Linked DNA regions of Lepisosteus oculatus. The protein of the gene in region 1 binds, or shares a complex with, the protein of each later gene. Links are inferred from orthologs where the notes say so. Each region holds a gene or a part of one and is shown in the gene's direction. Other genes may lie near its edges.

Evidence for each region. Proteins that work in one complex are often made in the same cells at the same time.
Region 2: gtf2h5 (region 1) and polr2b share a complex: the UniProt entries of both Homo sapiens proteins name them as parts of the TBP-based Pol II pre-initiation complex. The link is inferred for Lepisosteus oculatus from reciprocal best matches to the Homo sapiens genes GTF2H5 and POLR2B.
Region 3: gtf2h5 (region 1) and gtf2a1 share a complex: the UniProt entries of both Homo sapiens proteins name them as parts of the TBP-based Pol II pre-initiation complex. The link is inferred for Lepisosteus oculatus from reciprocal best matches to the Homo sapiens genes GTF2H5 and GTF2A1.

The regions. Positions count from the first base shown.
Region 1 is NC_090697.1:48,834,235-48,841,772, forward strand, and holds gtf2h5 (general transcription factor IIH subunit 5), read left to right. Parts: upstream 1-3,997; 5' UTR 3,998-4,103; intron 4,104-4,790; 5' UTR 4,791-4,835; coding exon 4,836-4,870; intron 4,871-5,571; coding exon 5,572-5,752; 3' UTR 5,753-6,373; downstream 6,374-7,538. Other genes in the region: protein SERAC1, read left to right, coding at 730-912, 1,332-1,475, 1,672-1,808. UniProt on the Homo sapiens protein: Component of the general transcription and DNA repair factor IIH (TFIIH) core complex, which is involved in general and transcription-coupled nucleotide excision repair (NER) of damaged DNA and, when complexed to CAK, in RNA transcription by RNA polymerase II.
Region 2 is NC_090696.1:33,268,029-33,276,157, reverse strand, and holds the start of polr2b (DNA-directed RNA polymerase II subunit RPB2), read left to right. Parts: upstream 1-4,649; 5' UTR 4,650-4,780; coding exon 4,781-4,799; intron 4,800-5,824; coding exon 5,825-5,897; intron 5,898-6,757; coding exon 6,758-6,908; intron 6,909-7,106; coding exon 7,107-7,219; intron 7,220-8,129. Other genes in the region: noa1 (nitric oxide-associated protein 1), read right to left, coding at 1-75, 749-880, 1,921-2,132, 2,501-2,665, 3,067-4,321. UniProt on the Homo sapiens protein: Catalytic core component of RNA polymerase II (Pol II), a DNA-dependent RNA polymerase which synthesizes mRNA precursors and many functional non-coding RNAs using the four ribonucleoside triphosphates as substrates.
Region 3 is NC_090703.1:2,817,729-2,826,200, reverse strand, and holds the start of gtf2a1 (transcription initiation factor IIA subunit 1), read left to right. Parts: upstream 1-4,992; 5' UTR 4,993-5,236; coding exon 5,237-5,266; intron 5,267-7,616; coding exon 7,617-7,718; intron 7,719-8,472. Other genes in the region: ston2 (stonin-2), read left to right, coding at 619-702. UniProt on the Homo sapiens protein: TFIIA is a component of the transcription machinery of RNA polymerase II and plays an important role in transcriptional activation. TFIIA in a complex with TBP mediates transcriptional activity.

The DNA.
Region 1 (7,538 bases):
GTAGCATCCAAAGCCTATGTGGCACAATTTTTTAATTTTATACTGTATAAGATCTGCATCCAGACACCATCTAACATGACATGTTAGAATTATCTTCTCAGTTGAAAAGTAGTGAGTGCTACAAACACGCGTAGGTCGTGTGAAAGAATCCTAGGGAAAGGTGTCATAACTCTTAGGTGTCTGCTTCATGCAAGGTCGTGTAGGGGTCCAACTGGGCTGGCCAGCATCTCCTAAGATCATGAACAATCACCCCACACATACAGTACTGATAAGTCATGCAACATGTGGTATTGAGAATCCTTCCTGCTGGTGTCATAGGACTTCTTAGGATTTATTTCCTCTTAGCTTATGATAAGTGCATCACTAGATGTAATTTAGCTTAAGGTCTGTTTTACAGTTTTTATATCTTATACAGTATGCTTTTAATCAAAGAATTTCCAGTTTCTGGGGACTTTTTCTCTTCCATGACAAGGTGCAAGGCAACTTACAGAGACTACAGGATGAATTATGCTACTCCTGCAATGACACTTATGATAGGCCTTGCACTTAACCTCTCCTCCAAAGAATAGAACATAAGGAAGTAAAGTAAAAAGAATCATTTATTTTGAACTGGGCATCTCCTACCCTTTACTGTATGGATGGCATGTTCAAACTGAATCTGTTTGATTTTACAAGTTTGAATTTAGAAGTTTCTCTTTCAACCTTAGATGTTTTTCCTTATATTCACAGGTTTGCTGGTCAAACAGATGCTCCTTGATGCCTTAAAGGACCCTGACATGCAGTCCTTAATTAAAAATACACAAGGAATCATGTTCTATAGTGTTCCTCATCATGGAACCTCTATTGCTGAGTATTCAGTCACTGTCAAATATTTGCTGTTTCCTTCGGTAGAAGTCAAGGAGCTCTCCAAAGGTAAGATCACTTAAAGTTTTCGGTAAAGTTTTTATTCACTTTGTTTTATGATTGGATTTAGTCAAGTTAGTTTTTTAGGTTTAATATTTTCACAGTGCCAAGAAGTATAAAACATACTGCATGCCTCTTGTTATGATGTATGCAAACACTGCCCTGGTTGTTTTTTTTCCTAAGACTAATAGTAACGATTTATGTGTTATTCTCTCAACTGCTAGCTGTTGAAAACGTTTGATGTTTTAAAAGGGGAACACCTTTCTGTTGTTAGAAACACGGAAATTACCTTTTAATATGTCAAAGCCATGTTTACAGCATCTCAGTGGCATATTTTAATTCTAAGATAATGGAATTTCAATTCCATTTTAATTCTAAGTAAACATGACCATTTTTCTATCCATAATACATCTTTTCACATTTTTCAGATTCCCCTGCACTTAATGAACTAAATGAACGCTTTCTGTGCATGGCCAAGGAAAGGAAGTTCAAGATACTAAGCTTTGCAGAAACACTACCCACCAGCATCGGTCCTATGGTGAAGATGCATGTCGTGCCAGTGCAGTCTGCAGGTATGTGCTTAGGCTCCTGCGGGGAGGTAAAATAGATACAGTATATTAAGGGAAATTAATAATAACTTAAATTAAGCAGCACAAGCCAAAACACATGGGATTGTATATTGTGAATTTCTTTTCATTTGTTCAGGAAACCGTAGCACTTGATTATTTTTGATGTAACGTTTAATCATGTTTACCATTAATTTTTCAGATCTGGGGATTGGCGACCTCATTCAAGTGGATGTCGATCATCTAAATATCTGCAAACCCCAGAAAAAGGATTCTTTCCTTTACAAGCGCAGTTTACAGTTCATCAGAGATGCACTGGAAAGCCACATTAACAATTAATAAAAACGTATTACTGTCAATACGGACAATATATTGAAAGCACCTTCCCCAAGTGTTCATATCCTAAAATTAAAACTCAAATCCAGCTTTTAAAAACCTGACATTATTTTGCCATATTGCATATGTATAAAGATTTCGTAATATTTTGTTACTGAAAGCAGATCTATAACATTAGTATTCAACAGAACATACTGCATGTTATGAAAGTTTGATAACAAAGGAAAAGAAACTAAGAGTTTTGTAGTGTTTGCATTTTTAATAGCATACTGTATATGTCAGTGTTAATTAAGCCTCAGACATGGATACATAAATTACCAAGAGTTTACTGTTTCATTGAGCAGGAAAAATAGAGCAGTGGTCTGTGTACAAGAACATAAAAGTTATAATCTTCAGGTGATATATACTGTATATTTTTTATTATAGAAGGTCTTTACTTTTACATGAACTAAATATTTGTAAAAGATACTAAGTTTACTGTTTCTGTTGTAAAATAGATTATTCATGAATAATCTTAAAATGTCATTGCACAGAAATGCAAATTAATTTGCATTGCGGAAAAACTAAATAAATTATTATTATAAATGATAAGAAATATATTTAACCCATGTTTACAAACCCTGGTACCAGATCTCAAATAAATATTCAGAAGTATAATTCCATTGCACTTTATATTCAAAGAATATCACATGATATTTGAATGCCATATTATTAAAACATTTTTTGCATTTGTATTTACATTTTGGGAGTTGTGTGGTTATTAACTTTTAACATTAACTGTGTGGTTATTAATACTTTGTCTCTTAATGTTGCTTTCTCCTTTAGAATATTCTTATTCTTTAAATGTCTGCCTTGTACCTACTTACATGGAATCCTGTGAAAGCCGTTCCAATTACAGTATATACTATGTGAACATCATCCGTAAACATTTCCTGTCTGTATTTGCAGATAAGATTAATTTTGAATGATCTATTGACTATGTCTCTCTGTTATTTTATAATATAATTGAAACTTTGTTTTATGAAAATCCACCAATAAATGAGACAACAAGCCCCTTACACAAAGATATAGGCTGTTTAACAAGAGAAGGCCAACAACCCCTCCCCACACACTTTGTGGGTGAGATTATCAATGTGTATAATATTAATGCTTAAAGTAAGGATTTGAATTATAATTAATAATAATAATAATACCCACTGTGACTTCGTTAGCATGTGTTGTGAAAACTGGTATACTTGTATAGATCTGTAAGGACACTGCTCTTCTACAGTGTACCAAAAACACACCAAAGATCCTCTCTAGTAATCTACTAGGATGCTGTGGATCCATTGATTACACACCACGGTATGATCTGTAGTGGATGGCCAGTCTCCAAGGAAAACAGTTTGCTGCTGTAAGTGGTGTTAATGGATAAGATGTCAATCCTCTGTACCAAAGTTTCCAAACCTGCCGCACCCCAACATGGTGACCAGGGAAACAGCTGTATGTAATGTTGCCCTCCAGATAAGACACTGAACTAATTTCCTGACTACTTGGTTGTTAAAGATTACTTGATAATGTTAGCCAGGAATTTACTTTGGCCGCAGGTACGCATCTCAAATGATGGCACATTCTAAGATGTAAAAAAAACTACTGACTTTCACATTCTAAAAAGTGCTTATTGTGTATATGACAATACTTATGATCACTTGGATGAACACAAAATATGTTTTAGATATGTTTTGATATAATGAATATCATGTTATGCATGCACCCAAAATAACATTTTATTTATTCATATTAATCTCACGATCACAAATAGAAACAAATAATCAAAGGTTTAACTTTGTTGTTAAAATACTTTCAGAGATCGCAGCATAGTTCAAATAGTAAATAAAGAAGATGCAATCCAATTTTAAGGTCTTTTAAGGCTCGACGGTGTACTTAAAGAACCTGAGGTTTATCCGGAGAATGTCAATGTCATATGGCATTGTTAATGTGGAGAGATAAAGACAATTTTAAAAAGAGAAACGTTAAGTATTCCTTTCGAAGATAAAAGCTTGAGACTACTTCTTGAAACAGAAGAATTTAACAAAGTTCCTTTTCTTACGCGAAACCAGGCAAAACGGTCATGACAATTTCAATGGGTTGTGTACTGCGCCTTTAAATGCAGTCTATCTTGTCCTGTTTAGCTTTCCGTCCACAAATCCTGTACCACAATGCTTTTCGCATGGTTGTTTTTAAGTAACCGGCTGCTGTTATATTAGCAAACGCACGGGTACACTGCTTTGAAATTTAGAGATTTGTAGCTTTACAGAGGTGAGTTTTCACTTATTCACCCTCTCGATATTAAAAAAAAAAACTATTTACGGAACTTTAGTACAGCTAAATCGTTTAGCATTTCTGCTTAGCACGCCTTTAGGACTGTGTATTTTTGTATTATAATTAAAGAAATAATCCAGCTCCAGTGAAGCTTTTACGAAACTTGACTAACAACCTTTACACGTAGCTATACAGCAGCTCATTGTGCTCTTTGGCATGTCTAGAAGTATTTCAGTCTAATACTGTGCATTAGTATTGGTAGTAAAACCCACACAAATAGGTTGTTCAATAGTAATGATGGTGTTTTTAATGGCGTTAGTTAATCTAAATGCTGTTTATAATTAATTCCTCTGATACAACAATTACCATGTTTGTATGTGTTATAAATTTCGAAAAGAATGCATGCATAACCATTAAAATGCATAAGTGTGTGTGAGAGAGGAGTTTATTCGCCATATGTACATTAGGATTCGTTTTCGCTCGGTTTTCTCGGGACGAGTACAGTACAAAAGACAACATTTTCACATAGTGTGCACAGTACTTCACAGTATAGTAAATGATAACATGACAGTACAACAAAGCACAGTAATATATAACGGCAGTACAGAACAATGAACACGAGGTCATTATTTCATATCATTGATACTGTAGAGTTATCCTGGTTTTCAACTTACCTTTCTCTAGGTGCATATCACGAGTCTCTGAGGTGGGACAGCTACAAGTAGAAAAATGGTGAATGTTATGAAAGGAGTTCTTGTTGAATGGTATGTACATCAAAAGAACTTACCTGTATTTCAAAAATATCCCTGTGCCTTTACTTCCTTATTTGTAAAATAAATTTTAAAGAGTTTAAAACACTTTGCTTTTTATCTTATTTCTGTGGCTAAAATTTGGATTTTATCGATTGTAGTCATTCTCAAGATACTTTAGTGTTCAACTTAAGGATGCTATGCTCAGGATATTTAATGAGGTAGTAGGATAAATATTTGTAATGCTTTTAGTAAAACCATTTTTTAAAAGAAATGAGGTTAAGTGAGGTGATGCATTTGCAGTTAATGGGTCTCCAATAATTTTGCTTCAAATTGTAGTATTGTGTAATAATGATATAGGCTAATTGTCATTAAATGTGCATTGGGCAACTTTTACTGTTTGAAATTTACTCATGAAATCCAGGCATTTCTCATTCCTATTCTGAGCTCCATGTGAACTGCAGCTGCTAAAAAGCTGTTTGTGTGTAGTGACAATTTAAACATACAGTACAATAATAAGAAAATGTCCAAGATTGTAAAATCATATTACTAATGTTTTCAACTATTGATCTATAATATTTTAGGAGAAGAAAACTAAACACAGGTAACCTAAAATCTTCAAAGAAAGCAAGTACTTTTACAGAGTCACTCTGTATGTTGTCAGATTCCTGCATTTTCTAAAATGTGTATTTGTATTTGTATTTGTTTTAATGTAGTGATCCTGCCATGAAGCAGTTTCTTCTGTATTTGGATGAAACTTCTGCTCTGGGGAAGAAATTCATCATTCAAGACCTGGATGACACGCACGTCTTCATTTTAGCAGAAGTAGTTCAAATCCTACAGGAGAGAGTGGGAGAGTTAATGGACCAGAACTCGTTTCCTATTACTCAGAAATAAAGCAACATGGAGATGTAAATGGAAGACCATGTTCAGCACAAACAACTTACACCCTTGTTTTATTAAGTGTGCTCTACAGTATACAATGTGTCCACATTATAATATGAACTTTTGTATTTTTTTTCATTGTACAACTCATACAAATTATAAAGGTATACCTCAGATATTGTAAAAGTGAAATTGTAAATATTTGGGGATGGTAAAATTTTGTTTCAGGAATAAAGAAAAATCCTTGATTGCTGTAATGGAGGAAGCATTGTCCCACATATTTTGGGGTTCAGTTAATATTTAGATGTTCAAGGGCTTTCAGTTTTCTTGGCAATGCATTAAAGGACAACTGTGCATTATTTAGTTGGTTCTTAATGAATTCACATTCTTATTTACTACATACCAAAATGTGTGCCCAACTAAAAAGAATTGTGGGATTAGAATTTATAGTTTTTAATTTAAAGTAAAAAGTTCATATATTGAAAAATTGAGAAGACCACAACCAGTTACACTGAATCTACAAATGTTATTCAACATGTTGCATGCTTGAAATAGTGTATTGACTTTTCTACATATTGTGGGGCAGTGGTTAATTGTTTTCTTAACAGTGCATTAAAGACAACTCTTGTGTTATGTAGTTGATTCAAAATGAATTTACTGCAATCAGATGTGGGGTTGCTTAAATTATGGTATGAGAGATCATGAAAATGCATTTGAAATCAATATCTAAAACATGAATAATATTTATTTCTTCTTTTGTCACTTGTGGTGAAAATATCCTAGGTACTATATTTAACAAATACTGATTATAGTAGTTGATCATGAACATCCACCATTATAGTAGCTGGATGGCTGGGGAATCATTGTAATCTGCTGTTCTGATAAAAGAAAACTTGATGCTCTTGTGAAAAAAAAAAGTTTATTTTATATTAACTGGAGAAATGTTGACTAGGTCCACAAACATTTAAACATTCTAGAAAAGGTTATATTTTTTCAGGTAGTTTACGTTTTAATATGAAAATATTTACAAATACTTCACTAGATTCCATAAATAGGATAAAACCTACACATTCATCTCCTGTAGTTCGGGATTTTTTTTTGCTAGACATTATTTTATTTCCGTAGCTGTGTTGGGCTGTAACTCATGTGCATGTGCTCTGGTGCACTGTGTGTCATATGGAACCAGGAGATGTTTTCCCATGAACAATTTTGATGGATCTGATGTGGTTTCCTGCATACAACTCCTATCAGAGCATACACAGCATGTGCAAGCTGAAGGCATTTGTTATAGTTGTACTATATAAAAGAGGTTTTCTAGAACAATATAGAACCACTAGCATACCTTAATATCAGAGCAGTAAAACTGAAACACTTTAATTTTTAATTGATTATCTCTTAATGGTGTTTGGTAGTCATAATATATATCCTTAAAAGATATTACAAAGTACTTTAACCTCTCATTTAATCTTAGATTTTGATACTTATTCACTGCATGATAAAATGTGTCCCTGACTATTAAGTATTACAAATAATATAGAATTACAAAACTAGAATTGCATTTTTATTTTAAAGTAAAATTTACATTGAAAAGTTGAGAAGGCCACAGTTACACTAAATCTATGAAAGTTGTTGAACATCTTGCATATTTGAAAATGTGCTGTATGCTGACTTTTCTGCATTAACTGTTATTGTGATGTAGTGGTCAGCATTGCTATCTCACAGTGCTGGGGCCCTAGGTTCAATTCCTGGGGTGCTATCTACATGGAGTTTGTATGTTCTCACTGTGTTTCCATTGGTT
Region 2 (8,129 bases), on another chromosome or scaffold:
TGCTTTCTCCCCACTGGTGATGTGAACTGGCAGGAGATTGGAGGCGACAATCGAGAGCCAACAAGATCTCTCGCCCTAAGGCAAGAAGAGCCTTTAAAGTGAAACAGGCTACCACTCATGGAGTGCACAAGAATCTTAATGGCACCACTCATGCCTAAAATATTTTTTTATCTCCTTTGAATCTCATTGTTGCATCTCATTTGAAAAAAAATATTAAATCTCTCTTAAATCATTTGCCACAGACTGCTTTGCAGATTTATACAGCAGTTAACAATCCTGTACAGCAACAGTAGACCTCAAGAGTACAAAAAAAGGGAAAACAAAAAATTCCTGTGGGAGCAAATAGACCTCTGGGGTCCCAGTTCTCCTCCAGGCGATGTGTTTGTGGTACTTTTATTACGAAAAAATCTGTACAGATACCTATTGAATAATCAAGCAAAATCTGTATGTAATATTGGTAATATTGCAATATTACATCCAAAATCAGCATGTAATATTGCAAACTACCATTATTTGCCTCAATTATCCTTTTGGCACTTTTAACTTCACTGAAATCGTAATCCACTATTGTCACTTGCGTTTATTTTACATCACAACATTTAACACAACTGCATTTAAAGTGTCACTTATGTCCATGCTGAATTGGGGAACATACTCTAAAAACAGTTAACAAACATTTTACTTTTTAGTCCATGTATGACACCATGGGCACAAAACCAAATGGTCATGACCTCTACAATTTACCCACCTTAAGGAAATCTATGCGCACTAGGGCGCCCAAAAAGAGCACCATTCCCGGCTTCAGCACAAACGTCCTGGGCACAATGGCTTGAGTTGGTACCACCATCTTCAACTCTTCATCTGTGAGCTGACTGAGAACCTGCAAAATGCAAAGAGATTAAATAGCAGAACTGCTTATTTCAATAGGCTTTCAAACATGGGCACACAGTATACACAGCGCCCTGTTACAAACACTTTACACGTGTCTGCATTAAATGCTGTCTGCCATTTGTTAAAGTTTGCCTTGATCTTTTACAGATTGTTTTTAATCCTCATCCTCCTATTTTGGTGTCATCTGTGAACGTGACTAGTTAATAACCTAATCCCATTAAGATCATTAATATAAATTAAAAATTGATTTAGAGGAGTGGTCCTAACACAGAGACTTGTGGTACTTCAGAAATAACATCACCCAGTTTTGAGCATTTAACCCTTCACTGTTTTCTATGCATTAGGCAGTTCTCAATCCAAATCCATACAGTAGCTTGACTCCCTACTACCTATTGAGAATGAATCTTTTATCAACAGCCTTTGGAAAATCAAAATATACTCTGTTTGTATCCATTACTTCTGTTGCTTGTTTAAAGCTATGCAAAGAGCTACCCTTCCTACTTCCATGTTGACCTTGCTCAAGAAATCCACTGCTGTACAACTGAGCCACTAGTTCTAATTTCCAAACCCCTGCAAGTTCATAGTGTCTGAGAGCTATAACGCGTTGCCTGGTGTTCTGGATGACTACAAGAAAGAAGTCTGTACGTGGGTCTGATAGAGGCGACCTCTATGGGCACATATAAGGTTCTGAGGGGCATCTACATGGAAAAGGGAGCTGGAGTCAGTGTAGGACAATCAGTTTCCTCTGGGAAATAATCAAGCTTATCAGTACTAAAGCTTCCCATGTCTGCCTGGAATAAAAACAACTACAAGATGGCACATTTTAACTAATAGGGATAGCAATAACTGACCATGGGCACCAGCAGACAGTAAGTGTTTCAGTCAGAGAAGAGCTCTACATCTGACATGATGCTGCACTCATGACTCATGTCTGATTCAATATATTAGGTGCATGTAGTAATTATTCTGCAGCTAAGCACAAAGATTGCATTGGCTAAACGTACAATACGTTTTAGCAAAAGCACTCACACAGTGTTCTTTCATAATTCCCGGGGTGTCATACAGCCAATGCGCATCTTTGAGCTCGTTGTGGGTGAACTCCACTGGGTTGGAAAGAGCTGATTTTTTACTCATTCTGTCTTCTTCCTCCTCTCCCACACTGAGACTTTCTAGATCAAAATCCACAACATCCATATCTTTCTGCGCCTGGACAGCCGAGCCAAAAGATCTGCCAACTCGCCCTGAAATGAACAGGGAAGACAAATTCCTTGTCAACCGTGCAAGTGTGGCAACTCCACCCCCACAGGAAGTCTTTCATTGGGCTCTTGAAGAAATCAGGGTCATGGAGGAACAGGAATAGGTTTATTATTATAATTATGGGCTTGAAACCAGGCTGTGTTAAGGTACCAGATGCTGGAATGTAAGTTAAAGTGAGGACTGAGAGTTAAGGGGAGCATAGGGTTAGAGTTAAGAGTTTCACTGTGTCATTTAAGTTAGGGTTAAGGGGAAGTTTAGATTTAGTCACAGGGTTTTTATTCTGTCTCCTTTTAATTTATTCAGGCCTGAACAAATGTTGATCTGGTACTGTCATAGAAGTCAGAACTCTTACCTACTAAATATCCCTGCTTGCTGAGCTGCTGCAGTCGTCTTAACTCCTGTGGGCTCAGGTCCTTCTCTGACTGAGAGCCATCACTCTTCAGTCTCTCAGACCTCTTGAACATGCGATATGGAGTGGGGTTGATGATTGGGAACTTCAGGAGATTTAGTGTGGTGCCTCATGAAGAACAGATAGGTTAGTGTCTGCTTCCATCTGCAACAACCTAAAATATGACCACCTAACATGGGATAAATTTAGGTTTTGACAGATGGAAAACAATACTTTTCATACACTGAGCTGAGGGAATAGCGAAAGGTATTTCTTCCTCAATCATCAAAACATCTAGTGATTTAGACTGAGGTTTATTACACTGTTCATACAAAGACTTCACATAAACATATCCTAATAACTTGAACTTGGCACTGCAAGGCCTTTACTTAGACATATGGGCAGTTTCTCTGCAAATCATGCTAAACCTCACTGCATTATATAGTGCCTTCATAGGCTTCTACGACGAAAGAGAGCGGGTCTTCACTTTGCACTGGCCTGCAGCCTGGCAAATGTACAGTAATAATTACCTGGCCATCGAGATATGGTAGCTTTCTGAATCACATCTGGAGCTTTCGACTTGCAGTAGTCTGACTCCAGCAGGGTGTTAAACAGTGTAGACTTTCCAGCATTTGCTGTTCCAACCAAATACACATCTCCTTTATATTTCCACGATCTTTGAAGACTCGAAATTAGGTTTTCTATCCCATAGCCGGTCTTGGCGCTGATGAGATGGACGTCTTTGGTGCCATCGCCTAAAGTAATACCTGCGTCAACACAATATGCAAAAAGCTGACGTTTAATTCGTTTTAAATAGCAATCCGAATCGCCAGGTAGCAGATCTATTTTATTTCCCAGAACCACTATGGTTTTATTTTTGCCCACTAGTTCTAACAGATCTGGAATGATAGAATCGGGAATATCCAGAAGGTCCACAATGAACAATACCAAAGCTTTTTCTTGGCGTATCCGACTAACAACATTCCGATATTCTTCTTTCGAAACCTGAATATTTAAAGACTTTTGGTGATGGACAAGCAAGAAACATCGCTGACACACCGCTCTGTCCATCTTGTCCTCCTTTATTAGCTGTTTGTATTTCTCACTGGGTACATAACCGGGCAAAATCGGGTCAGTGCAATGCATACGAGCACCGCATCCCGAACAGCTGTTGTCACTAAAAGGAATCTCCTTATCTGGAGTGCCGTATATTTTTTGAGATTTTTTCCTTTTAGAAGTTAATTTAGGAAGGGGGAAGCCAGCGTCATGAAATTCTATATCCATTTCTTGTACGTCCTGGTCCTGGTCTAACACTGTATCTTCTAATAACCGCATCTGTATTTCCAAAGCTCTGTGATACACCTCTGTACACGACTTTCGCGATGCGTTTCTCTCTTTATTGGCCACAGACCCCATCTGCGAAGGGGGTTTGAAAGAAACCCCATCATCGTTCTCTTCCTCTAGGTTGGAGTAGTCTAGAAAGACGAATTCTTCTTCTTTTTCTGGTTCAATCGATGTGTAAGAGTTTCCAAGACGTCCCTGCTTTCCGCTGTCGCCGATTGCCGCTTGCGTTGTGCTGTAACAGCGGGCCACTGACGTCCACGTGTCTTCCAAGCAGAAGATCTTAAAAGTTGGCACTTTTCTACAGAGTCCTGGACAATTGCGTAGAATAGATGAACAGCGATTACCTTGTCTGTCCCCCAAAGTTGGTAAAAATACAGGAAACACATTCCGGGCGCAATAACAAGCAGGAGCACATTGCTTTAGTCGGTATAACCTCTGCATTTTTAATATAATTAAAAAAGAAATTATACTTGAAATATTTTTTTAAAGGTTACGTTTTTTCTTCTTAGTTGAACCTTGAATGGCAAATAATAACATACACATGTGGTGCGTCTAGGAGTCTTCCATTTTTAGTACTCTGACTCCTGTGACGTATATGATTACCACATCAAACCATCCGAAATTATTATTAATAATTATTATCACGATTCTCTTTGTATTATTATTGAGAATATCAATTACAATTAACATATTTCTGGTGGTTCAATTATTTTAAAATGTTTCGTTTGACGTCACGAAAGCCTGCAGGAAGTGACGTATACACCATCGATATCTCGTACTGTTGTGTTCAGGTGGTGTGGATGGAAGTAGAGGGTTATAGCGCACTTATTTTTAATTCAACGTATTTGTAAGTGTTTTTTTTTCTTTTGGAGTCAATAAAGGAAGTACCTTCAATCCAATATGTATGATCAAGATGAAGGTAGGTATCTGGTTTGTTTAGTTCTTTTTTTAAACAATATTTTGAACATGGCGTCAGGGTACGTTCTTTGATTTTTGGTCTGTATTGTACAGAGGTGTCTTATAAATGCAAAATGAATTGTGCCATTAACTCTGACACGTTTAACGACATCTGTTATTTAGATTTTGTGCATCCTGAAGTTTGTTTTAGAAATATTGTGCTTCGTTTTCAACATTCTCAGTCTAAACCGTTCGTATTTACAGTCACTTTCAGCACATGAGTTCTAAATTTGTATTTTGAAATGCATTCAACAGGCGAGAGCTTTACATCCAAATAGGGAAGGTGATTTTCCAAAAAGCTTTTGGCATTTCAGTTTTATCAAGAAACGCCAGAAAATGAAATCGGAGGAACGGTAATTAGTTCATGGTGGTTCTAACATCTCATTTTGCGTACCACTGTCCTTAGGAATTAAAAACGTGGCCTTTTCTTTAATGTTCGAAAAGGTTGCAGAGTAGCAAACGTTATAAAAGTCAATTTCGGTGAAGTTAACAGATGCCTCCTGATGTATTAGTCTAAGTTCTGTCTTTCGACAAACAATCACACTCGTGTCGCCATTGTAACAAAGCTGCTTCAGAGAGGGCAGGTTATTGAGGAGAATAAAGATTTTTTGCTCCTTTTATCCTTGATCATGCCTTTAGGAAGTGGAATGAAGCAAAGTGCCTGGAGAAAATTCATATGTGTACATGCAGTGCGATCAACTCTGCATAGGCGGCACGCTGTCTCCAGAGCTGTGAGATAGCAGGTCCAAGTACCATGTCTCTTGAAAAGCTTTTTACCACGCATGTAGTGTAAAAACAGTTTCTGTGAAAATCAAATGCATTAAGGGCCATCTTACCTTTCTTTGTTAGTTTCATATGCAGCAAGCTTTCTTCCTGTAGAAGGTAACTGCCTGTGAATAATACTTTTTTAGGGGGAAGTCCAAAGAGAGCATAATATTTTATGTGGATGGGGCTCCCTTAATATTACAATTCTGTGGTCTTGTTTAGATATTCAGTATGATGAAGATGACGATGAGATCACTCCAGACTTGTGGCAGGAAGCCTGCTGGATTGTCATCAGGTGAGCAGCCTAAAAAATATAACATATTAACCACCTTCACCTTTTAGGGTTATCTTTTGATTTTATTGATCTTATTTTTGACTTAATACTCACATTTCAACATTCTTCTGTGCTGTAAAAGTCCAGCCCTGGTCCCAGTGACGTACAACCCAGCAGATTTTGAATGTCACCATTAGTTTTCCTACAAACAATTGTAAAGACTTGAGAACTGAAATGAATAATTTCAGTTTTGTTCATTTTTTAAAGCTACACAGTTTAAAGGTTGGTCATTCCTGATTTAGTTGAACCAGTTACCTGACTAAACTGATCACAGTCCACATGTTGCAGGTCCTTACAAAGATATAATTTAAGGATGACCTATAAGACCTACTTGATTGTGGCTCTCCACTGCAAAAGTTGAACTGTTTTTCATTTTGTTTTAAGTGTGTCCCCTTATATATTCATATATATGTTTGTCTGTTTATGTCCAGTCAAGTTCTATCCTGCTTTTTTAAAAAAGCACATTTTTTTTCTGATACAGATATACAAAGTTAAAAACATTTCTGGTAAAGGGTTTCACAGATTTGGCTGTAATGAATCAGAATGTATTTAAAGTTCTAAAACAGAAGGAAATGTTGGGCTTTAATGAAGATAGTCTATAGTTCACTGTCATTCTTAACATTGCAAGCTGCAGTTTGTCTGATGCAGTCAGCATTCTTCCTTTCTGTGCAGTTATTCTGACCTATATCTATAGAAGCAGTAGTGATCATCTCCTGTAATGCAGATCTTCAAAGCAAATTCAGCCCAGGTTTTTTTCCACATTTGGGGCACAAAGGGGGAGAATGGTATTAGTAATGGATGGCCTGTTCTTGTCTTCGTAGTTCTTATTTTGATGAAAAGGGTTTGGTGAGGCAGCAGCTGGACTCTTTCGATGAGTTCATCCAGATGTCAGTACAGAGGATTGTGGAGGATGCCCCACCCATCGACCTGCAGGCTGAGGCCCAGCACACCTCTGGAGAAGTGGAGGAGCCCGTGAGTCTCTCGACGGCTTGAAAAGATTTTTCCGGCATGTGACCCCAAGCAGTCTGAAAGTGTAGTGATATGTATTGATGCACAGATACGTCTGATTAATTGGTGCAGGGGGCGGTTTGCCCACAGTAGGGGCGATTTCTGTGAAATCAATGGGTGGATTTTGCATGTTTATCACCTCTTGTCATCTTTTCGTTCTAGCCACGTTACCTGCTGAAGTTTGAGCAGATTTATCTTTCCAAACCTACGCACTGGGAGAGAGATGGAGCTCCTTCTCCTATGATGCCAAATGAAGCTAGACTCCGAAATCTTACGTAAGTTGAGCTTTACATTGTTGTGTTGCTCCCTATTCTGATGCGATCCCCCACATTGTTTAGTTTTGTCCATTGCTGTTGCAGAAATGTGCTTCACACCAGGGTTTTTTTGAGAGCTAGAGCAGCATTGTGCAGCAGGGGTTAGGTCTCTGAAACTGGAAGGTTAAACTCCAGCTGAGACAGTGCTGTTTGTACCTTTGACCAAAGGAATTCACCTGAAGTACTCCAATAACAATACCTGGCTTTGATATTTTTCCATTTTAAAATAAAGTTGGACACTGGGCTCCTCATTTCTGGTCTACCTTCTAAAATAACGTTTCTCCCATCACAATATCAATTTCTGGATAATTTATTTCTCTTATTAAGGGAATGTATTTTAACCAACTGGTTTAAGAAAAACACCCTCTGTTACATTTTGGTATGGTGAATGTTGTAGTGTACTGCCCTATGGAAGGCTTAGTGCAGTTTCCATAGGAGAACAGAAGATCATAAACTATGGTCACCTGTTACAGAGTATTTGCCAGTGGCATTAACAGAATTGTTGCTTAAGGGTCAGTGAGTATGAAAGTGAATCCCTCTGTGGGTTCCCCAAACTGAGGGAGGAGGGGTTAGGGTGGATGGTGGGGGGATGACTGAATGTGGAGGAGAGGACAGGATGGATGTCACTAGTTGAAGACTGGAGATAATTTTTTTATCTTTATCTTTCTTTTATTGTATACTATTTCATGGTGGATTTTTTTCTTCTCTTAATCTTATTGTTTTTCAATGATGGATGGTATTTGAATTTTGTTGGAAAATTAATAAAAGGATGTAAAAATACCCAGTTTTGAGTTCCATTGTAAATTGGTTTGGTTTAAAGGGTCAGTCGGATAAAAATGAGTAGAGAGTAAAGAGTACTACCTTTGGAGAA
Region 3 (8,472 bases), on another chromosome or scaffold:
GAGGGCGTGAATACATGAATGGCTTCTTGCTTTCACTCCTTCACACCTGCTGCTCTTGAGCCCAAAACAGTGCTGTCGGCAAACTTTCGCAGGTGGCTGCTTGACCCGAAGCCTGGCTCTCGGTTAATAAAGGATTAAAAACATAAAAACAGATACTTTGTTGTCCACTAGTGTGGGAAATCATCTTTGGCTTCTCCCTTAAAGGTACAAAAAAAGCACAAGCAAAACATAAAACGCGCATAAAATCGCATGAAGTCCATGAAATCACAGCACCAGTACGTAAGACGTAAATAAACGGATCGAACATTCAGTACTGGGGGGGACTAGATTTGCAGCTATTCAATCTAAGTCTGAGTCATCTTCATCTCTGAGTCGAGATGCAGAATCTCGTTGAAGCCACTTTAATCGAAAAAGGAAGGTTTATGCGACAAGACTCGGTGTGTCATGTTTTAATTGCCATGTTAAATTGCAAGCTAAATCGGTAATCCCATCTTCTCACCTCATGGCTCTTTGGTCCCATCTAGTGGCCCAGTGAAGAATCGCCATTCACTGTAGTGTTGACCTCTGGCTGCCTCAGTTTTGTGGTGCCCAGTCCCACTTTCCGTGTTTTTTTTACAGGTGGAAATGGAGCAGAAAACAGATTTGGCGGAGGATCTGAACAGCCTGCAAACAGAGAAACCAAATCGGTGCTCACAGCAGTGACTCTTTCACAGGAACGAAGAGCTTTGCACTTTGGGGAAAAAATATTCAAAAAGGCATCACCTAACACACTGATTTTTAGATGGCGATAGAAATGGACTTTAATATTGTTTTTCCAAAAGGGAAAGGCCTATGTGGTCTGAAAGAGCGACTTGTCCTTGTATTAACTAATTTATTAGCTGTGAGACAGGATTGCCTGCTTTAAACATTTAGCGTTTGGGAATTATGGGTTTTGACAGCTGCTGCTGATGTGTTTATTTTTGGTAATTGATTTTTTAACCATGCAGGTTTACATAAGGCACTTTTTACAGCTGATCAAGCAGTGCTCTTCTGAGAATGTGCTTAGGCTAAAAGGTGCTTAATTAAAAAGCATCCTTAAGATATTATTGAAAAATATCAAAAATATAAACTTGAATACTAACCATTTTTTCCACAAAACCAATCTGAAACAAAGGTGCCTTCACATTTGGATTTCACCTAGTTTAGATATAGGCAAGTTAACTTGCATTGTTTCTACAAAAGTAGTAAAACTGTAGTTTGTATATATCTAAACCAAAATTCTTTGTTGTATGGTTTTCAGCATCTGATGTTTTTACAGTTGCTTTTTTCAGCATTAGGATGAAAGAACTGGAATGTTTCCTGTATAAAAAGAGGAAATACTCAAAAGCAGTTTAAAAATTGTGAAATAACACATATGTAAGATTTTTTGCTTGGTGGCAGAGTACTACTGTTATGCATTTTTTTCATGATAACACACAATAGTAGAAATGCTTACTTCTATTTTTTTTAATATATTTTCCTACTCAGATATGTAAACTACTGCTGATCATTCTCATTTCAACGGTTGTTATGTACTGGCCTTCAGACCAGTATCTATACAAACATTTATTATGCTGTAAAGTAAGTTTTTAATGTTACGGTAATGAGGTTTAATGCTGAGTGTTGAACACCATTTTGATTTGAACCTGGTGCACTGAAGTCTTTATTTAGAACTTAAAATTTGCACCTTAAATTATGACTCCTTTGAAGCAAACACAAAAACTTGAAAGCTTTAATCAACGATGTTATTTAGACATAAAAAGCTATGTTGTAAATATATAAAATTGTATTGCCTTCCATACCAGAAAGACTCAAATAACTTCTAAATAAATTATAGCAGAGGTTGTGTTACATTACTGTTACAGTCTGACTATGGTACATCACAGTGTTGAAACCACAACCTCCTATAATGCTGTACATCAGGGCTTTTTCAGTGAAACTTTATCCAAGATTCAAGATTCTGATTTGTTCTGTGAGGTTAAGGCTGGGTAAACTGCATAGACCTGCTGTGTATTAAAAGACATTTTTGATTGAAGAGTTTTTGTTTGAACCAGGAACGAATACTCTGTGTCTTCCATTTGTGCTTCTATAACCTGCTGATCTGACAGTAGCTTGTTGTTTTTTGTTCAGGGCGACAGTGATCACCTTTTAAAGTAACACGCTTGGTAAGAGAAGAGATTTAGGATTATACACATGAAGGAGAGAGACTGAAGGACAAGGATATAGAGGAAAAAAAATTATTTGTAACAAGTGACAGTGATCCGGACTGTTGTGTCTGTGATGGTTAAGTAAAAACTCTGTTCCAGCTTTTGAGTTTTAAACCATTTTTTATTTCTGTATTAACGATGTGAGGCCATAGATAATCCTGGTAATTCAGCAATTAAAAAGCATTTAACTACTGTAAGTTTATAAAGTTTCATTTGGAGAAGAACACATTTGTAGGATTAAAGTCTTTTTTCAAATTTACAGAACTTCCGTTGTACTTTAGCTGTACAGTATTATTTAAAACTATTTACAGTTGGTCAGTGTGAATAAAATAAAACTTGTACTGCACTTTGAGAAAAAGCAAATAACACTAAGATACTAAAAAGCTATTTTAAATAGTACATGAAATAAAAGTAGCAAACCAAATTTGTAGTACCTGTTGCACTATGACTGTTTTATGTTTGTCAAGTACAGTACATTGAACACGTAGAGAGAACTTCTAAACTAATAAAAACCTTGAATAAATTCTGTGAAGCCTCACATCCAGGTTACTGTAAATGAAGGCAACACCATCGTGTGTCTGATTAACTGAATCAATTGCACTTTTGAATGATTTACAGTTATACCGGATTTAGGTGAAAAAGATTTTTGTTTTAGTTTTTAAACCCTTGGGTTTTCTTATGCTCTAGTGGTGAGAGTGCAGATATAGTCCCGACTTGTCAGACTGGAGCAGAGGCAGAGATATACCACATCTGATGGTCACACCCCCATGACTTCAGTGGACTAAAAACTAGTCATCAGTGCATGAAGGATCCAGTGAACATGTTTGCAGAGCCAGAGCAATGCTCCCTCATTCAAACCATGGTCCTCAAGCAAACATCATCTGTTTGCAAAAGGATCTAAAGGCGGTTTTGCTCAAAATGGAGTTTAGTACTGTATATCAAACCTGTATAGTCCTAATTACCATGAACTCGATTCTGAGCAGGAATGGTCTTTGATCGGTCTTGATGTAAACGGGCAGAACTGTCCCAAGATGGTTGACAAGACACAAGCTCTGCATCCAACTCTAATTTCTGATTTTATTCAGCTGCTAACAGTACCAACAATGTTCTTATGTTTCTATGATGTTCTAAAAAGACTATCTTCCAAGATATGTACAGTATGGAGTTGGCTCTTTACGCATTCAGAAAGATTGCAGTCAAGTGACTGGACAGGTTTTCACACATGCAGGTAATTATTTGTGGGTTAATTGGCTTTGGTAGAGGTCATTAGTTTTTTTATGCTGCAGTGGCCAGAGAGACCTGGATAATTTAATATCGTGCTTCAATCATACATCTTATTTGTCTTCAAATAATGCAGCTAATGAGACCCATTTCTCTTAAGAAATTGGGGTTTTTTAAATTAATTTATTGTGCACGTGTTTTTGAGGTAGAACTCAAATGAACTAGCATCTGAAAGCTGTACTCTTAAAGATATCCTGCTGTTGCTCCTGTTTTATTCTTTGTGATGGAATAAAAGTTTAAGATACACGTTTCGTATGCTGTGTCATTTTTTCTTCTATCTGCTTCTAATATTTTTTTTTGTGTATTGACAGAATACAATCTCAGTTTTTAACACGTGTTCGTCTTTGCAGTGGTACACCACGGCTTTAAAGATCTGCAATACAGTTTAGATACCTTGGAGCTTGACATAATATAAAAGCCCTTTGACCCACTTCAAAAACATGCAGAGCTGCTGGAGAAAGACGTCCCGCACGTCAAACAGCAGGACGAGGAATCACCCCGGTGCCCAGCAGACAAGAGTGCGCTATCCCATCCTGGGACCAGACTGCGCACCTGCCCTGCCCGGGTCGGAACCGAAGCTTGAGCGGTTCTGGAAACAGTCAGCTTCCCAGCAACCTCACGAAAAGCCCGCCCGTTGATTCGGTGCGGTATGATACAGTAAAGTACTTTTTTCTACAAGTAACGGCACAGCGGCGGCAGACCAAGTCTATCCGACTCACGCCGAGAAAGAGCTGCATCAGCGTCTTCGCTTGGACGTGTAGTCACGGATCGGACTTGGCAATGTTTTTGTCTGTGTGTTGCTGTGTTTTAGATCCCATTACAACGCCGTAACGATAGCTTAGTTCCTACCCTCCCCCACCCCAGTACTCAGTGGTCCAACTGGGGGGGGGGGTTAAAGCTTAAAAAGGGAATCGTGTTTGTTAAATAAACAACCCATCCCAGCGTTGCAGACACGTGTCGCCCTACGAGATGTTGGTGGTGGAGGGGATCCCCATTACCCGTAAAGCGCTTTGAGTGGAGTGTCCAGAAAAGCGCTATATAAGTGTAAGCAATTATTATTATTATTATAGATGTGAGCAAGCGCAATCCTACTCCTGTTCTTCGGCTGGGGAGCCCCCAAACCCCTCATGCTTCACCGAGAAACGACAACACCACAGCAAGCTCTTCACCTCCCCGGGAGGCGCATCAGGCGCATAAAATAAAGACGACAATGGAGCAAGTCAAGGTTTATTCCATGCTGAGAAGAAACGCAAGGTGGAGCCTTTCTTCAGGTGTGACATATGGAATAAACCTGGACTTGCCCCTTTGCAGCCTACCCGTGCTGACGCTGCTACCTACTCCACCGAACTACGAAAGACTACAATTCCCAGCAGGCCACTCCGCCCAGAGCCCCCGGATGTGGGGGCGTCGGAAATCTCGCGTCCTGCGCGGAAAATCCCGGGCGAGGCCTCGCGAGACGCGCCGCGCTGACCAGGGCTGTGTCTCGCGCACTCGCAGCTCGGTATATAAAGGAGGGCGGCGGAGCGCGGAGGACGGCTGGACAGCGCAGCCCTTGGGACTAGTATAAGTGCATAGTATTTTAATTTCTTTTAAAAAAAAAAACCCAAGCCGAATTGGGTGGGGGGGGGTTCTTTTAAATATCGGATTTAGATGTTTTAGTCTCTGACGTTTCCGTTTTGTTTTTAGCAGTGGGTTTTGGTTGTTTTTTTTTTTCACACACTCGGCTCATAATGGCGAGCTCGGCTAACTCGAATCCCGTGGTAAGGACTGATCTCCAGAGCAGTCAGTCAGATAATGACGCCGATTGCATTCGTGCTGCCGAAACGACCGAGTGTCGACACTCTCACAGGGGGGCATATCCTTCCGTCCAACATGCAGGGCAGCTGAGGCAGGGGAAGAGAGAGGGAAAGAACCGAGCAGCCATTCGTTGAACTTCTCGGCGAGACCAAATTTTGAGCCTCAGTGCGGTTGCATCTCACTGATTTGTAGCTAACGTGGGGGGTTTTGTGAAGAAAGCAACATGAAAAGAGCAGTGTTTCTTCTTGCAGCGCAGGGATGTCTCCCCTAGGAGATGTACTCTTGTTTGCAATGTAACATGAGCATTGGGATTTTGAGTTATTTTACTGTCAAGATTTGGTTTCGAAACACTGGTATAATGGCTGCTTAGGTTTTTTTTTTAATGCCTGCTTGGGCTGTTGCAGCTCTTAATGGTAGACAAGAGGGGAAAATGCATTTACAGGGTATTGGCACAATGCTGGAGTTTTAGGTGCATTTTAAAAATATCGTTTGGGGAAAAAAAAGCAGTTTTATTGTGGTTCAGTAGGGACTCTAGCTCGTTTTAGCCTTTCCATTAGGAAAGTACCTTTCTTCTGTGAAGCACTTTCTTTCACTAACGGAGGTAACATCCTTGGCAGTCCTACCGACTAAAATATTGTAGATTTACAGCGCTTCCCCGCATTGGAACAGTAGTGGCCCGCAATTTGCGTTTTAACACGAATGAAACGTAAAATGTAAAAGCGTCTGTGTGGGGTGGGGGGGGAGAATCCCTCTCTTATTTTAAGGAGTCGTCCTCATAACATTTCACAGATCCTGGAGATTCGGCCCCAGTTCGTGTGTGTGAAATGGTCACCTCCACCCAAACCCCCCTCCTCCCTCCGGGACGGGACGCGGGCAGCTCCGTGTCGCCCGGCTCCGGCTCCGCCAGTGCGGCCGGCCTCCCTTCTCCCTCCGCCGCTCTGGTCCTCCGCCTTTCCTCCGTCTTTATATAGAGCCATGGCTGCTCTCTAATATAGACTGCCAGGGATGGGACGGTGCTACTCGCGGCTACGTCACAGGCTCGCCATATAAACACCAGGCGGGGGTTTAAATAGAGAGCAGACGAGCCGGCCGGCCGGGGGAGGCGCGAGTGCGGAGGACGTCGTGCCGAGACGGCGGCCGTGCTCGCCCGTCGGAACCGAGCCCAGCCGGGTCCAGCCGAGCCCGGCCGCTTGGACAACCTCCGCCCGTCCGTCCTCCTGCGAGAGGAAGCCCGCCGAGCCGCTTTGCCGGCGCGCACTAGCCCGATATCTTGTGCGCCGTTTGCAGAGCCGCGGTTCTCTGAAAAATGGTTTTGATTCTGTCGGGCGGGGAGGGGCTGGTGTGGGTGCTGTACCTGTCCGCCCCCCCGCGGTAACGCCGTGTAGGTGCGCTGTGCCGTCCTGTGAAACGCGTTTGTCGAGGAGCATGTGTGTGCATGGGCTTCCGGGCTCCCGAGCCGGTCTGGAGCGGCGAGCGGGGTCGAGCCGTGCCGCACCGTGTGAGCTTGCCCGTCCGGATCCTGGAGGCGGGGACCGGGAGGGTGTCCCAAGATTTCAACCAGTCCGTAGCGCAGCAGGAGTGCAGGGAGAGGCCAGGCCGTGGCCTTTTCCAAGAGGTGCCACAATGGCCATTGAGTGCCGGATCCCAAGTTGGACAAATTCTTGGAAATTGTCCGGGAGACTTCAAGTGAATTGCGAAGTGCTTGAAAGCCCTCACCGAAACCGTGTAGTTATGCCGATGTGATTTAGAAATATGAATAGAGGGTATACAAGTTCCCCTGAATAATGTGTTGAGTGCAGTTGATGAGTGGAATCTACAGGATAGATTGAATGATGTGTCCTTGCTTCACAAAAACAAAAATCCATATGATTAAAATTGGACTTCATTTTTAGTCGCTCTTCACTGCAAAACTAACTTTCAAGAGGCTCCCGTGTTTATCGTGTTGTCTCGCAGAGTAAATTGAATCTTCTCCTTTACAGAGCTCTGCGGAGGAGTGAAATGGGAGTGTGGTGTACAGAGAGGGCATGATTTATTTATAAACCCTGCTCGCATACGGTTTACAAATCTGTGTCAAGCCTGGCCGTTTGTTTATTTGCGTCTTTCGAAATCCACAGTTGTGCAGTTGTTGCCGAAAGACATTTGCTGTTGGCTTGCAAGTTTCACTGTTTGCAAAGATCACTGTTTGCAGCTGAGATGGAAAAAAGGTTTGAGAGTTTAATTAATTGATGAGTAAGTTTCAGAAGAAGGGAGCTGATTCATCTGTCTGTGGTCATACATTAAAAAATTATTTTCCTGTCCGTTTCTTTGTTTCAGCCTAAACTGTACAGATCTGTGATCGAAGACGTGATCAATGACGTCCGAGAGCTCTTCCTGGATGAGGGAGTGGATGAGCAGGTCCTCATGGAGCTTAGAACAGTACGGAGTCTCGTTTTCCCACTTCCTGTCTGTCAAGTTTGCAGAAGTGTCATGGACAGAAGTTTTGACTGCTGTAATTTGCTGTGGTGGCCTGTTTGCATTTTAAAAGACAGCAGCAGTCCTTAATTTGTGTAGCAGATATTTTGACATTTGACATTATAGAACATTAAAAAACCCCACGAGTGTTGCTTTCTGAAATAAACATTCACAGAGTTGTGAGATTCCCTTCCAGTTCAGTTTCTAAACTTTGAAAACTGTCCCCCAGTTTTCAAAGAGGCGGAGCAGTGGCTCTGTGGCTCAGGATCTGTGCCTGTGGCTGGAAGGTTGAGGCAGAGGAGTCCTACTCCGTTGGGCCCCTGAGCAAGGCCCTTAACCCCAACCGCTCTAGGGTTGCAGTACAATGGCTGACCCTGCGCTCTGACCCCCAGCTTCTCTCCCTGTCTGTGTGTCTCATGGAGAGCAAGCTGGGGTCTTCAAAAAGACAAATCCCTAATGCAAGAAATTGTATAGGGCTAATAAAGTGATCTTATCTAGTCCAGTCCAGTCCCCTCCCCTCTCCCCTGATTCCTCGACCAGGGCTCTCAAGAAGGAAGCGCCTCCCTTGCAGTCCGCTCGACCAGTGCTTTCACTCTTCCTCGGGGGTCTGCTGGCGCACGGCTCCCCTTTTGCTATTCTGTCATTTTAGCTTTTACTGTTTCTAATAACATCCTCTAGCCGGTTTTATTATGAACAGGAGTGATTTCTGCAGAGAGGC